Linked DNA regions of Rattus norvegicus. The protein of the gene in region 3 purifies or fractionates together with the protein of the main gene of each other region. This does not show direct contact. Links are inferred from orthologs where the notes say so. Each region holds a gene or a part of one and is shown on either strand. Other genes may lie near its edges.

Region 1 (4,181 bases), on a different chromosome or scaffold from region 3:
CCCTCCCTCTCTCCCTCTTCTCTTTCTCTTCCTCCTCCTCCTCTTCCTCCTCCTTCTTCTAAAGGGCCTGGAACTTCTGATATCTATTATGGTAGCCTCAAACTAAAAAAATTCTCCTGCCTTAGCCTCCCGTTCCTCAGTGCTGGGGTTACAGAGCTATATACCACTATACCCAACTTTTACTTATCGTTTATTTGATTGATTTTAAGATAGGGGTCTTGTTATAGTGCCCAACTGGCCTCCAGTTCCTGGGCTCATGTGTTCTTTCTGCCTCGGCTGCCTCCGTGCTTGGGGTATAGGCATGTACCATTGCAGTATTTTTAGTTATTGTGTTTGTTTGTTTATTTGTTTGTTTTAATCATTATGAATTAGACTTTGAGGAATGAATAGTTAGAAGTGGGCAGGGCCTGTCCAGAAAATGGGGCCGGCAGAAAGTAGTTCTAAATAGTTGGAGAGGGACCTGCCTGGGGTCCTCAACAGGGACTAACCCAAGTCACAAGGTTCTGGCTCTCGGAGACGCTAATGCAAAGGGAAGGGCTTGGAAGTGTGCTGCTCTTGATCTTGGGTCTAGGTAGGGCCTGGCCTTCCTTCCTAAGAGATTGCCAGAACATTTTAGGGAGACTGGCTGTAAAGCATGATACCTCACTTCTACATGAAATCGATAAAGGTCCCTTTCCTGCAGAAGCAAGCTCCATCCCACGTTTGCTCACGCAGGCCTTCTGCAGAAATCATCTTAGGTTCCTTGGCTCCACGTCTCGAAGAGAGGTGACAATCTCAAGCTTGGGAATGCCCAGCATATACCGGCAGTTATGAGGGCAGGAAGAGACTGAGAGGGGTCTGAGTTGAACACTAAGTTCAGAACTAAAGGATGTAAACTGCCTCAGAAGTAACTGAAGTAAGGAGACTCCACCTTAGACGAGGCACTCTCAATCGCGATCCTGTGGTGAAGAGAACAGGTATCTGAATGTGCAGAAGATCATGCGTAACGGACATTTGATTGAGCTGCCCCAGTGGCAACTTCCTGAGGAAATGCCCCTTTTATGGATATGAATATTAAGGCAGCCAATGGAGAGCAGCGGGTAGGAGGACCATAGTTTGAAGGCCGACAAATGTCCGGAGGACACCGACGGGTCAAGGATCATTCCCACCTGGTCTCTAGGACTAAGAATTTAGCTACCTAGTCGGCAATAGTCCCCGAAGAGGTGCGCCTGCGCAGGGAGAGCGCTTGGCCAAACCTCGGGGGCGGGGAGACCTCGGTGCGCACGCAGGACGCGAGGCGGAGCCAGTGCCCCGGGCGCCTGACCGGCTGTACCAGGAGGGGGCGGGGCCACAGACGAGCCTGGGCGGGGCCTCGAGGCCGGTTTGGAATTTTTGGCGCGAGCTGGCTCCGCGCGCGTTCACGGGCCGTTCCCCTTCTTGGAGGGTGCTTCGTCCTGGTGTCCAAAGGCCCCGCTGCCCGATCCCGGCCTGCCTGGCTTCTGCGAGGTCCCCAGCGGCCTCCGCCGACCCGGAACCTGGGACCTCGCTGCTGCGCCGCGCTGCGCCCCGCCCAGCCTCCCCAGGTGAGCCCATACCCGAGTGAGATCTCCCGGCCGCGCCGCTCTTCTGCCCGGCGCCCTGGCCCGCGCTCCTGCTGCACTGCGCCCCGTGACGGACCCCCAGCCTCCCCTCAGTGTCCGGTCGCACCCCTGCAGCAGCCCCACCCCTCCCTGTTTGTCACGGGCTCGGCTAGCCCTCAGATGACGCCAGGTCAGCGCTGTCGTCCACGCCCCGCCTACTTCCCCCGGGCCCTCTGTCCCTTCCCACTGGGTCTGCCCCTCTCCCCCCCACCCCCCGCCACTCTCTGGGAAGAGCCCCTTGACCTAGTGACAGCCTGTCTACGCAATTGTTTGTCAGAGTTCCCCAGCCCACTGAGCGAATTTAGCAGCGGCCCTGCACGAGAGGAACTCAGTCTAAGCTAGGTGGTGGTCATCAGATGTGTCCACAGCTCAGTAAGGGTGAGGCCCCTGGAAACCTCGGAGGTCTCCTGGCTGACTGGTGGCTCAGGACCACTCTGGACTCAGCCAGGACTCCACTACCAACCCTTTTCACCCCATAAAGGCTGTTTGACCAGGCCAGAGGTATTATAATGTAAATGACCAGTGACTTTGAAACGAAGATGACATTAAGAGGAGAGAGCCTTTCTGGCTGAAGACAGAAGGTGATGGACTCCTAGGTGCTAGGCATGGAGTCTGTATTCCTTCTTCCTTTAAAAAAAAAGTCTTCTTGTTATTTTTTTTAACATATGGGTATTTTTGTCTGTATGTGTGTTTGAGCACTACGTTTGTGCCTAGTGCCACATAAGTCAGAAAAGGGTGTCAGAACCTCTTGGAATTGGAGTTGCAGATGCTTATGATGTCAGTGTGTCAGAGAAACAAACCTGGTCCTTTGGAAGGGCAGCAAGTACTCTTACCACCCACCCCCCTTAAGGTTGTCCCTTCACAGTTGTAGGTTTAATTAATCAGCATTATCATGGATCGTGACAGTCTAATTCCTTCAAGAAGACCTGGGATGGGATTTGTGTTTGTTATCTGGGGGTGAGGGGGCATCAAACCCAGGACCCTGATTGTGCTAGGCAGGTACTCTTATCACTAAGCTAAAGGCCACCTCTGAGATGGGATTCTTGAAGTAAATAGAGCCATAACAAGAGAGCCTTCCAGCCAAGCCTCTTAATTTAAGTACCTAACCTAAGTAGTAATTTGATCTACCCAGCACCAGAGGCTAGGTGTGGCATCTTTTGATACATTGTGGCTTCCCCAAAAATGGACTCTTTCTGTTGCTTTCTTACCTTTGTTTCAATTACAACATTGTAGCAACCTTCTGCCCCTTCTGTCCCCCGGGCACACAGTTAGTTAACTGACACGGTTACACTACTATACTTGAGTCATTTCAACTACTATCTAAAGCACTGATTAAGACAGCAGTTAGCATTCATGCTAGACACCAGTCTTAAGTCCTTCAACGTTCTGTATGTCCGTGCAGAGCAGATTTAGGGCCTGGAGTTAGATTAATAAGTTAGTTGGTTTAGCATTTGCCTAACATGAATCATGCCCTAAGTTCAATATATAGCCCCACATGTAGTGGGACATGGCTATGATCCTAGCTCCATAGAGATGGTGTCAGGAGGATCAAAACATCACAGTTTTCCTTGACTGCACAGCCAGAGAGCTTGAAGACAACCTACACTAGAGAACCTGTCTCAAAACACAAAACAAAACAAAAATAAATCTCAGATTTAGAAAGCGCAGATGAAAGCCTGAGGTGTAGTCCTGCTAGAATGCTTTCCTGGCATGTTAGCCCCTTGGTTTGACCCATAGTGACTAATAGCTTTTAAATAACAGTTTGATCCATAAATGAATAAACATCCTAAGAAAGCATATATATATATATATATGTATATATGCTTTATATAATATATATGCATATGCTTTTTATATATAATGTATTATAATGTATATGTGCATATATATATATATATATATATATATATATATATATATATCCCCACCCCTGGTGAATCTGGGGCATCCATTCCAAGATCAAACACTAATATTTCTGTCCTTGAATGTCAGCTAATGGTGCTAGCTCATGCTTGTAATTCTAGCACTCAGAAGGCTGAGACAGGATGATTGCTTCAAGTTCAAGATCAGTCCAGACTACATAGACTTTTCTCAAAACAAAACTATAAATTTCTGGGTGAGAAAACTAGATAAAGTTGATTTTTTTTTCCCCTGAAGTAAATTTTTTTTTTATGTAGCTACCCAGTTGTTGAGAAGATTCTGCTTTCCTGTTGGATTGTTCGGCATCCTTTTTGAAATAAGCATTTCCAGCTCTCTGGAGGTTGAGGCAGGAGGCTGCTCAAAGCCAGCTTGAACTACATAACGAGTCCTGTCTTGAGGGGGAAAAAACACAAAACAAAAAAAAAAAATTTTAAGACAGGGTCACTCCGTGTAGACCTGGCTGTCTTAAAACTTGCTTTATGGGCTGGAGAGATGGCTCAGCGGTTAAGAGCACCCGACTGCTCTTCCAGAGGTCATGAGTTCAATTCCCAGCAACCACATGGTGGCTCACAACCATCTGTAAAGAGATCCGATGCCCTCTTCTGGTGTGTCTGAAGACAGCTACAGTGTACTTATATATAA
Region 2 (4,330 bases), on a different chromosome or scaffold from region 3:
GTTCTTGGGAGATGGAGCAGGAGGGTCAAGTATTTGAGTACATGTCCATTTTAAGACCAACCTGGGCTATATGAGACCTTGTTTCATTAAAACAAAACAGTAAAAACAGCCAAAGTAGTTGCTCATGTCTGTAAAAACAGCATTTAGAGGCTATGGCACCAAGATTGCTATTGAGACCAGCCTCCTCAGCTATAGTGTCTCAAATATGATTTGAGAGTTTAAAGTTCAGGAATATAGCTCAGTGACTGAACCAATTCTTACTACATATAAAAACACTGACTCCAATCCTCGGCACCAAAAATAGGTCTAGATTTTAGCAATTCTTCACAGTTGGGAACATGGTCTTTTATCCTCATGCTCCTAATTGATGGGAGACAATAAAGGAGTTGGAGCCAACCAAATCGTCACACAGATCTACCTCTATCTGACTAGATTTCTGTAGGCAGACCATTTAGGAAACGCTGATCAGGGCAAGGGTACGTTCTAAGCAGGACTGGGGAAAAAAAGGAATGTGACCCCTATGAGGAGTCACAGGTTTGCAGAGGGACACAAGTCATATTCCAGCAATGTGGTGGTGACTGCCCTTGGATGTGCTCACCCTGTTGTCTGTTCATGCAATCACATATATATATAGCAATCTTAGTGTAAAGACACTTGTAAGATCAAGAACCCTTATTTCCAATAACTTCTTGCTGCTTTTAATATTCCTGGGGAGGTTTACAAGTTGGGAAGAAGGAGGGCATTACATTGTCGCCCCCCATACAGCGGCTTACTATGTTAATCTTCTTCTATCCATCTTTTAGTTTCCTCCTCGGATAGAAATTGTCTACTCCCTGTTTTTATAAGACCACGGTTGCCTTATTAGCTATCTTTATCATCACTTCAAAGGGCGGAGTGACTGAGACACCAAAACAAAAACATCGCATACCAACTGGAAGGAAGCACTTAGTAAAATTTTGTTGAATGAATGAGTAAAATGAAGACACAAATACGAATGTTTCCCCATGGCGGTGGAGTGGAAATGTTACAGCACCATCTCTGGCACCAGGATCTCCCACTAGCACCTCGACCTCCCGCCCACATAGAGACGCGTAGTGAGACTGAAGATGCTCTCAGGCTCGGCCTTGAGCTGAGCGTTGAGAGCTGGTTGGCCCGGTTGCCATGGCACCGCCTTGTGCCCCACCCTCTCTCGCCCCCACACACCCCCTCCGCAGTCAGGGTTTGGCAGCCGGTCACGTGCCACACAGCGTAACCACACCTCCGCTTCTCAGCGCAAAGTAAAGGGGTCACGTGGGATAGCAACAGGTCACGTGGCAGTACAGGTCCCGCCCTCTTCCCCCACCACACCCCTCCCATCAAAGGGGCCCCGGTCGCCGAGTGCGCATGGGTGGAGGTCACGTGTCCAGAACGTCCGCCGTCGGCCCCGCCTCCCGGGTTTCCGCGCGCCTCTCTGGCAGCTGGTCACATGGTGAGGGTGGGGGTGAGGGGGCCTCTCTAGCTCGCGGCCTGTGTCTATGGTCTGGCCCGAAGCGTCCAGCTGCCCGGGACCGATCCCCGGTGTATGGCGCCGCAGGAAACGGCTCCCGGGCCCAGATAAAGGGCCACCTCCGCAGCTCTTGGCCGAGCGTAAGGTGAGTGCAACCCTTTCCAGAAGCGGGGGGCCAGTCCCCACGAGCACTAGCACCCTCCAGCTCCCCACGCGTGCGCGTCGCTGGCTGAGTATGGAAGGTGGCCCAATGGCGGGAAGTGGGGCCTTTGTGGTCGTGGGCGAGGGTGTGATTTCAGAGAGTGAAGCGCAGACTGTTCCATGCAAGCCCTGTGCACTGTGATCTTCTTTGTGCCGGGCGCAATGGTCCTCCGAAAGAAAAGAAAGCATTCTTTTCTTCCTCCAGGACAAAACGTGGCTGGAAGAGGGTTTGTTGGAAGTCTTTGTGTTACCTAAGGAGCGCGGGCCCTGGATGTGTGGAGGGTGGGATGCTGGTGATAATGTTGGTGAGGTCTTGTGCAGGAGTTTCTTTGTTACTGCCGGGTCATCTCCTCCTAACTGTGAGAGAGAGCTTGGTATTAGAAGCCTCTGTGATTGTAGATCCCCTGCTCCGAGAATGGCTACCACTCGATATGAACCCGTGGCTGAAATTGGTGTCGGTGCCTATGGGACGGTGTACAAAGCCCGAGATCCCCACAGTGGCCACTTTGTGGCTCTCAAGAGTGTGAGAGTTCCTAATGGAGGAGCAGCTGGAGGGGGCCTTCCCGTCAGCACAGTTCGTGAGGTGGCCTTGTTAAGAAGGCTGGAGGCCTTTGAACATCCCAATGTTGTACGGTGAGAAGGTTGGATTGGGAGTGGGGCGGAGAGGACAATAGGACCCGTTAGTCAGGAGTGGGACCCTAGAACGCCAGAGGCCATGTTGAAACAAAGGGGATGGCCAGCTCCTGACCATTTGTTCTTCTCAGGCTGATGGATGTCTGTGCTACTTCCCGAACTGATCGGGACATCAAGGTCACCTTAGTGTTTGAGCATATAGACCAGGACCTACGGACATACCTGGACAAAGCACCTCCGCCGGGCTTGCCTGTTGAGACCATTAAGGTGAGTGGAGGGGTGGGTGGAGGTGGATTGATATGTGCAGTAGAACTTGTTGGGATTTTGGACACAGTGATACATAGTTTCCACAGTTCTCTGCTTCTTTCTTCAAAACCAGGATCTGATGCGCCAGTTTCTAAGCGGCCTAGATTTCCTTCATGCAAACTGCATTGTTCACCGGGACCTGAAGCCAGAGAACATTCTAGTGACAAGTAATGGGACAGTTAAGCTGGCCGACTTTGGCCTAGCCAGAATCTACAGCTACCAGATGGCCCTCACGCCTGTGGTCAGTAAGACAGTAGCCGGAATAGGTTGGGATTCGGGGTAGGGCTTGGTGGTTTCCCAAAGCGACTAAGGAGTCTTGTACTTGAAGTTTTCAGAGCCAAACAGTTGTTTACGAGGACAACACTCACTTATTTCTCCTATTCTCTTTAGGTTGTTACGCTCTGGTACCGGGCTCCTGAAGTTCTTCTGCAGTCTACATATGCAACGCCTGTGGATATGTGGAGTGTTGGCTGTATCTTCGCAGAGATGTTTCGCCGGAAGTATGGGACTAGAAACATTTGTTTTGTTTGCCATGGGACAGGGTTTTTCTGTGTAGCGCTGGCTACACAGAAACGAGATCAGGCAGGCCTTGAACTCTTGCCTCTGCCTCCAGAGTGCAGGAATTAAAGGCATGTACCACCACTGCCTGGCTGGGACTTGAAACTCTTAAGCCACCTTCAGTTCCACAGATCTTTTGCTGCTCTCTCACGGTGCTAGAGGTTGGAATCAGGACTCACGTACACTCAGCCATGCCTCTATTTCTTTTTCTTTTTCTTTTTCTTTTCTTTTTTTTTTTTTTTTTTTTTTTCAGAGCTGGGGACTGAACCCAGGGCCTTGCGCTTGCTAGGCAAGCGCTCTACCACTGAGCTAAATCCCCAACCCCTCAGCCATGCCTCTGTACCACTAAACTAAACACTCTGCCCCAGGTCTTTTACAGACTTATCTGTTCTTGACCATTCTTGTGCATGTACAGTGCAGGATACCCAACCTGGGGTTTCCATAGGCATGGTCCCCTGCCATCCAGCCATAGTCCCAGCCTACCCAGTTCATACCAATCACCTTGCCTAGAAAAGAAACCACATGGGCAAATCTGAAATGCCCTGGATTTAGTAACTTCCTGTTCCTTAGCTCCACACTCTAGTTTGGTCCACTTAACGGTTACTCCGGTTTTTAAAAGAATGTACTTTGACTATCTTTCTACCTTAGGCCTCTCTTCTGTGGGAACTCTGAGGCTGACCAGCTGGGCAAAATCTTTGAGTAAGTATCCACTAAGGAAAAGGAAAGGAACATTCCATAGCAACTGGCTGGGAAGGGGCCCCTCCTGACAGTTGTCCTGTCCCTACAGTCTCATTGGATTGCCTCCAGAAGACGACTGGCCTCGAGAGGTCTCTCTTCCTCGAGGAGCCTTTTCCCCCAGAGGACCTCGGCCAGTGCAGTCAGTGGTGCCGGAGATGGAGGAATCTGGAGCGCAGTTGCTGCTGGTACTGGGCCTGAGCAGGGATTGGGTTAAGACAAGACACGGCATGGCCTGGGAAGCTGGCTCAGTGGGTAGAGCTCCTTTGCATAAGTACTGAGGACCTGAGTTCAAATCCCCAGAATCCACGTAGAAGTCAGGTGCTTCTGTAGTGCCATTCTTGTGGCGAGATGGACAGATCCCCTGGTAAGACAGCAGTGCTGGACTTTGTAAAAGATGGAGGGCAACGA
Region 3 (3,893 bases):
TTAAGGTAATTCTCAGTCCTCTTAGTAGCCTACTGATGTATACTTCTTTTTTGGGATTAAGGTTATCCTAGAGCTATGAGGACAGTAGCCCTAAAACCAGAATAAGATATTCAGTGTTGCTTTGCCATTAGGGTGTTTTTATCGAAAGAGATAAATACTTTGACTTTAATGTCATACACAGAATCACCCCATGCTATGGATATATCTATTGTCTTAGAAGACGAAAAGCCAGTGAATGTTAATGAAGTACCTGACTATCATGAAGATATTCACACGTACCTTAGGGAAATGGAGGTAAGGCTCTGTTCATCAAAAATGGCTAAGTGAAGCAGAGAGGCTAACGATGGACACCTGCTAACTGCTAGCAAGTTACTCCAACGCTAAACTTAACGGCTACAGTGTATGTTAATTGTGTCTTTGTGAATGGTGAAGTAACTAATCATAGTTTTAATTAACCCTACTGAGTTTTTCTTCAGGTTAAATGTAAACCTAAAGTGAGTTATATGAAGAGGCAGCCAGACATCACTAACAGTATGCGGGCCATCCTTGTGGACTGGCTAGTTGAAGTGGGAGAAGAATATAAACTACAGAATGAGACCCTGCATTTGGCTGTGAACTACATTGATAGATTCCTCTCCTCCATGTCTGTGTTAAGAGGAAAGCTTCAGCTTGTGGGCACAGCTGCTATGCTGCTAGCTTCGTAAGTCTAGCTAATTTGGTTCAAAATCATCACTCACCACTCCTTCCCCCCATTTATATTCCATTTATATTTTATTGGGTGTTTTGCCTTTGTGCATCGTGCGTATCTGTAGCACATGTGTGGTGCCTGCTGAGGCCAAAAGAGGGCATTGGGTCCCAGTCATTGTGCCATCTCTTCAACCCCCAGTTTTAACACTGACACCTTTAGGGATGGCTATGGGATGATTCTGAGTAGAGGGTGAAACTTGTTTTCAAGTCTAAAATATAAAGCTTTCCAGATCTGGATTTTACATGCCTTGAATGAGAATACATTTTATCACACTAGATGAAGAGTTTGAAAGTATGGTTCTTCTACAATAAAGTGCTTTCTGGAGTATAAACAAATTCTTCCTTACATCAGGAAATTTAAAAAAAAATTGTATTCAGGAGACAAATCAGAAGTCCCTTAGTGATTTGGGCCTATGAATTGGTTTTTAATCATCTCAGCTAGAGATGGCAGTCAACTGTCAGTGGGAGTGTGGTTGGTGGAAGTGAGTAGAGTACAGTCTATGTAGACAAGACCTTCTTTTGAAAAAACTCATTTACAACTTCTTTTGTTATAGAAAGTTTGAAGAAATATACCCCCCAGAAGTAGCAGAGTTTGTGTATATTACGGACGATACCTATTCCAAGAAGCAGGTTCTGAGAATGGAGCACCTTGTATTGAAAGTCCTTGCTTTTGACTTGGCTGCACCAACAGTAAATCAGTTCCTTACCCAGTACTTCCTGCACCTGCAGCCTGCCAACTGCAAGGTAGAAAGCTTAGCGATGGTAAGTCCAGTTTGGGGTTTGTTTTAGGTTGCAATTAGGGGCAAGCCCTTAGTTTCATTGTATAACACTGCTTAAGAGAGAAAGTATTTCCAGATAGTTAATGCTCCAATACACAGAAAATCCTATAGCCCTCTATATCTGTGGGCTCTGCGCATATGGAATCAATGAACAGACATTAAATGTAACTGCCTATGTACTGGATAAACACATATCAATCGATCTTTTTTGTATTACACGTAATATTGTACTAGTGATATGCATGTAGCATTAGCTTATGAAATGGCATATGTAAGAGACTTGAGTATCTGGTGTCCGTGGATAAGGGCTGAGAGGTCCAGGAGAGAATTTTCCAATGAAGGCCCAAAGATGACCATTCCAGAAAGGCACTAACTAGTGGTTTAAAGAGAACATCCTAGTAGCTGTTTTAAGTTATTAGCTGAGAATAGAGCAGAACATTGAAATAATTTTCCCAGGGCTGGTACGGAACCAGTGAGAGTACCCAAGACAATAGAAACTGGTCAAGAAGCAAGGTTTTGAATCTGAGTCTGATGTGTGACTGTAAAGTTGTTTTGGTTTTGGTTTTCATTGCAGTTTTTGGGAGAGTTAAGTTTGATAGATGCTGACCCATACCTCAAGTATTTGCCATCGCTTATTGCTGGAGCTGCCTTCCACTTAGCTCTCTACACAGTCACAGGACAAAGCTGGGTATGTATTAACTGTTGCCTTCACAAGTATTGGTGTTCTTTGTCTTAACCTTAAACTTGCATTTGAAAGCTCTGCTTCTAGAGTCTGAGTCACCTGCTGCGAGCAGGGGAAGTAAACAGTCAAAAGAGTGAGCTAAAATGTGGGGGTTGGCACTCTCGGAGGCAAAGGGGAGGGGTCAACATTTGGAATGTAAATAAATTTATAAAAATTAAAATTAAAAAATGTGTCAAAGATTAGTGCCAACATTTAGATCAACTGTGAGTTCATGGTCAGTGCCCTGTGCTGTTACTAAAAACTCAATGGTTGTCTCTTTGTAGCCTGAGTCATTGGTACAAAAGACTGGATATACCCTAGAAAGTCTTAAGCCTTGTCTCATGGACCTTCACCAGACCTACCTCAAAGCACCACAGCATGCCCAACAGTCAATAAGGGAAAAGTACAAGCATTCAAAGTAAGAACCATATTCTTTACTGACTAAAGGATAACAGTAATATGCCACAGCCACCTCAGTAAGATCTTATGTCAACATAGGAAGCTTTTGTGCCTTTGCATCTGGTAAGAGATGGGTAAGGGAACAGATATGTGTCCTAAGTATCAAATGTTTTTAAACTCATTAGTCTAATCAAATAAAAGTAGCATTTCTCCAGTCTTGGGACGCATAAATTGTTTGTTCTGTGATCTCCCCGATGAATGTTTACTAATAGGTTTTTATTTCCTCTGCTTAACAGATATCACAGTGTTTCTCTTCTCAACCCACCAGAGACACTAAATGTGTGAGAGTGAAAGACTGAAATGGAAATCGCTCAGAGTTCATGCTGTACAGTTTTTATCTTTGGTTTTAATTTCACAATCATTTCTGAATGTAGATGGTATAGCCACAGACAAATTATGTTATCCATTACTTTTAAAATGGTTTTAATTTGTATATCTTTTGTACATGTGTCTATCTTAGATTTTGGCTAATTTTTAATTGGTTTGTTAACATTGGTGCTGCCAACTGTCAAGATAATAAGAATAAATTGATTTGGAAATCTTTGAAAGTGATAGATAATTTGGCTAATTTTAATTGGTTTGTTAACATTGGTGCTGCCAACTGTCAGGATAATAAGAATAAATTGATTCAGAAATCTTTGCAAGTCAAAGTTAATTTGAGGCAAAAAGAATGATGTCACTTAAAAAAGCTAATTTGATTTGTTTTATTGTTGAGGGTGGGGTAGGGAAAGCTTTTTATAAAATAAAATATTTCAGGGAAAGATGCCTTCAAATTTTGACATTGATTTTAATAATTGTAAGCAACCAAACCAAGTTTCTGACTTGGTTATAAGTAACCAAAAGTAGATGAATCTGTTTTCAGTGTAGCAGAACTCATTCAGAGCTCACATGTTACAGTAGTTTATGGAGACATTTTATTTACCAACTTTTACAAATAAGGTTTTACATGAATTGGGAAGCTTTTATGCAACAGAAAAGTTTTCCAGAAAGTTTATTCGAAGCATAATGTTAAAGACAAAACAGTTTATTAAGTTCAGCTCATAATAGATTTTCAAATAAAAAATATCCAGAGCTGTTAGCACTGAGCAAATACCCTCTTATTAGTTATATATATATATATTTTATATATATATATACATACACATCCACACCACTTTAGCTTAATTAGCAGTTCTCTTCTTTTTCCT

Evidence for each region. Proteins that work in one complex are often made in the same cells at the same time.
Region 1: the proteins of Ccna2 (region 3) and Pkmyt1 purify together in Homo sapiens (affinity purification with mass spectrometry; 3 studies listed by BioGRID and IntAct, counting the BioPlex papers as one, with this or other methods). This does not show direct contact. The link is inferred for Rattus norvegicus from reciprocal best matches to the Homo sapiens genes CCNA2 and PKMYT1.
Region 2: the proteins of Ccna2 (region 3) and Cdk4 purify together in Homo sapiens (affinity purification with western blotting; 3 studies listed by BioGRID, with this or other methods). This does not show direct contact. The link is inferred for Rattus norvegicus from reciprocal best matches to the Homo sapiens genes CCNA2 and CDK4.

The regions. Positions count from the first base shown.
Region 1 is NC_086028.1:13,251,485-13,255,665, forward strand, and holds the start of Pkmyt1 (membrane-associated tyrosine- and threonine-specific cdc2-inhibitory kinase), read left to right. Parts: upstream 1-1,341; 5' UTR 1,342-1,562; intron 1,563-1,574; exon of another isoform or gene 1,575-1,716; intron 1,717-4,181. UniProt on the Homo sapiens protein: Acts as a negative regulator of entry into mitosis (G2 to M transition) by phosphorylation of the CDK1 kinase specifically when CDK1 is complexed to cyclins. Mediates phosphorylation of CDK1 predominantly on 'Thr-14'. Also involved in Golgi fragmentation.
Region 2 is NC_086025.1:64,769,963-64,774,292, forward strand, and holds the start of Cdk4 (cyclin-dependent kinase 4), read left to right. Parts: upstream 1-1,490; 5' UTR 1,491-1,631; intron 1,632-2,086; 5' UTR 2,087-2,102; coding exon 2,103-2,320; intron 2,321-2,451; coding exon 2,452-2,587; intron 2,588-2,699; coding exon 2,700-2,867; intron 2,868-3,016; coding exon 3,017-3,126; intron 3,127-3,832; coding exon 3,833-3,883; intron 3,884-3,971; coding exon 3,972-4,107; intron 4,108-4,330.
Region 3 is NC_086020.1:121,354,815-121,358,707, reverse strand, and holds the end of Ccna2 (cyclin-A2), read left to right. Parts: intron 1-181; coding exon 182-294; intron 295-476; coding exon 477-700; intron 701-1,301; coding exon 1,302-1,509; intron 1,510-2,100; coding exon 2,101-2,214; intron 2,215-2,531; coding exon 2,532-2,665; intron 2,666-2,942; coding exon 2,943-2,991; 3' UTR 2,992-3,345; downstream 3,346-3,893. Other genes in the region: Exosc9 (exosome complex component RRP45), read right to left, coding at 3,867-3,893. UniProt on the Homo sapiens protein: Cyclin which controls both the G1/S and the G2/M transition phases of the cell cycle. Functions through the formation of specific serine/threonine protein kinase holoenzyme complexes with the cyclin-dependent protein kinases CDK1 or CDK2.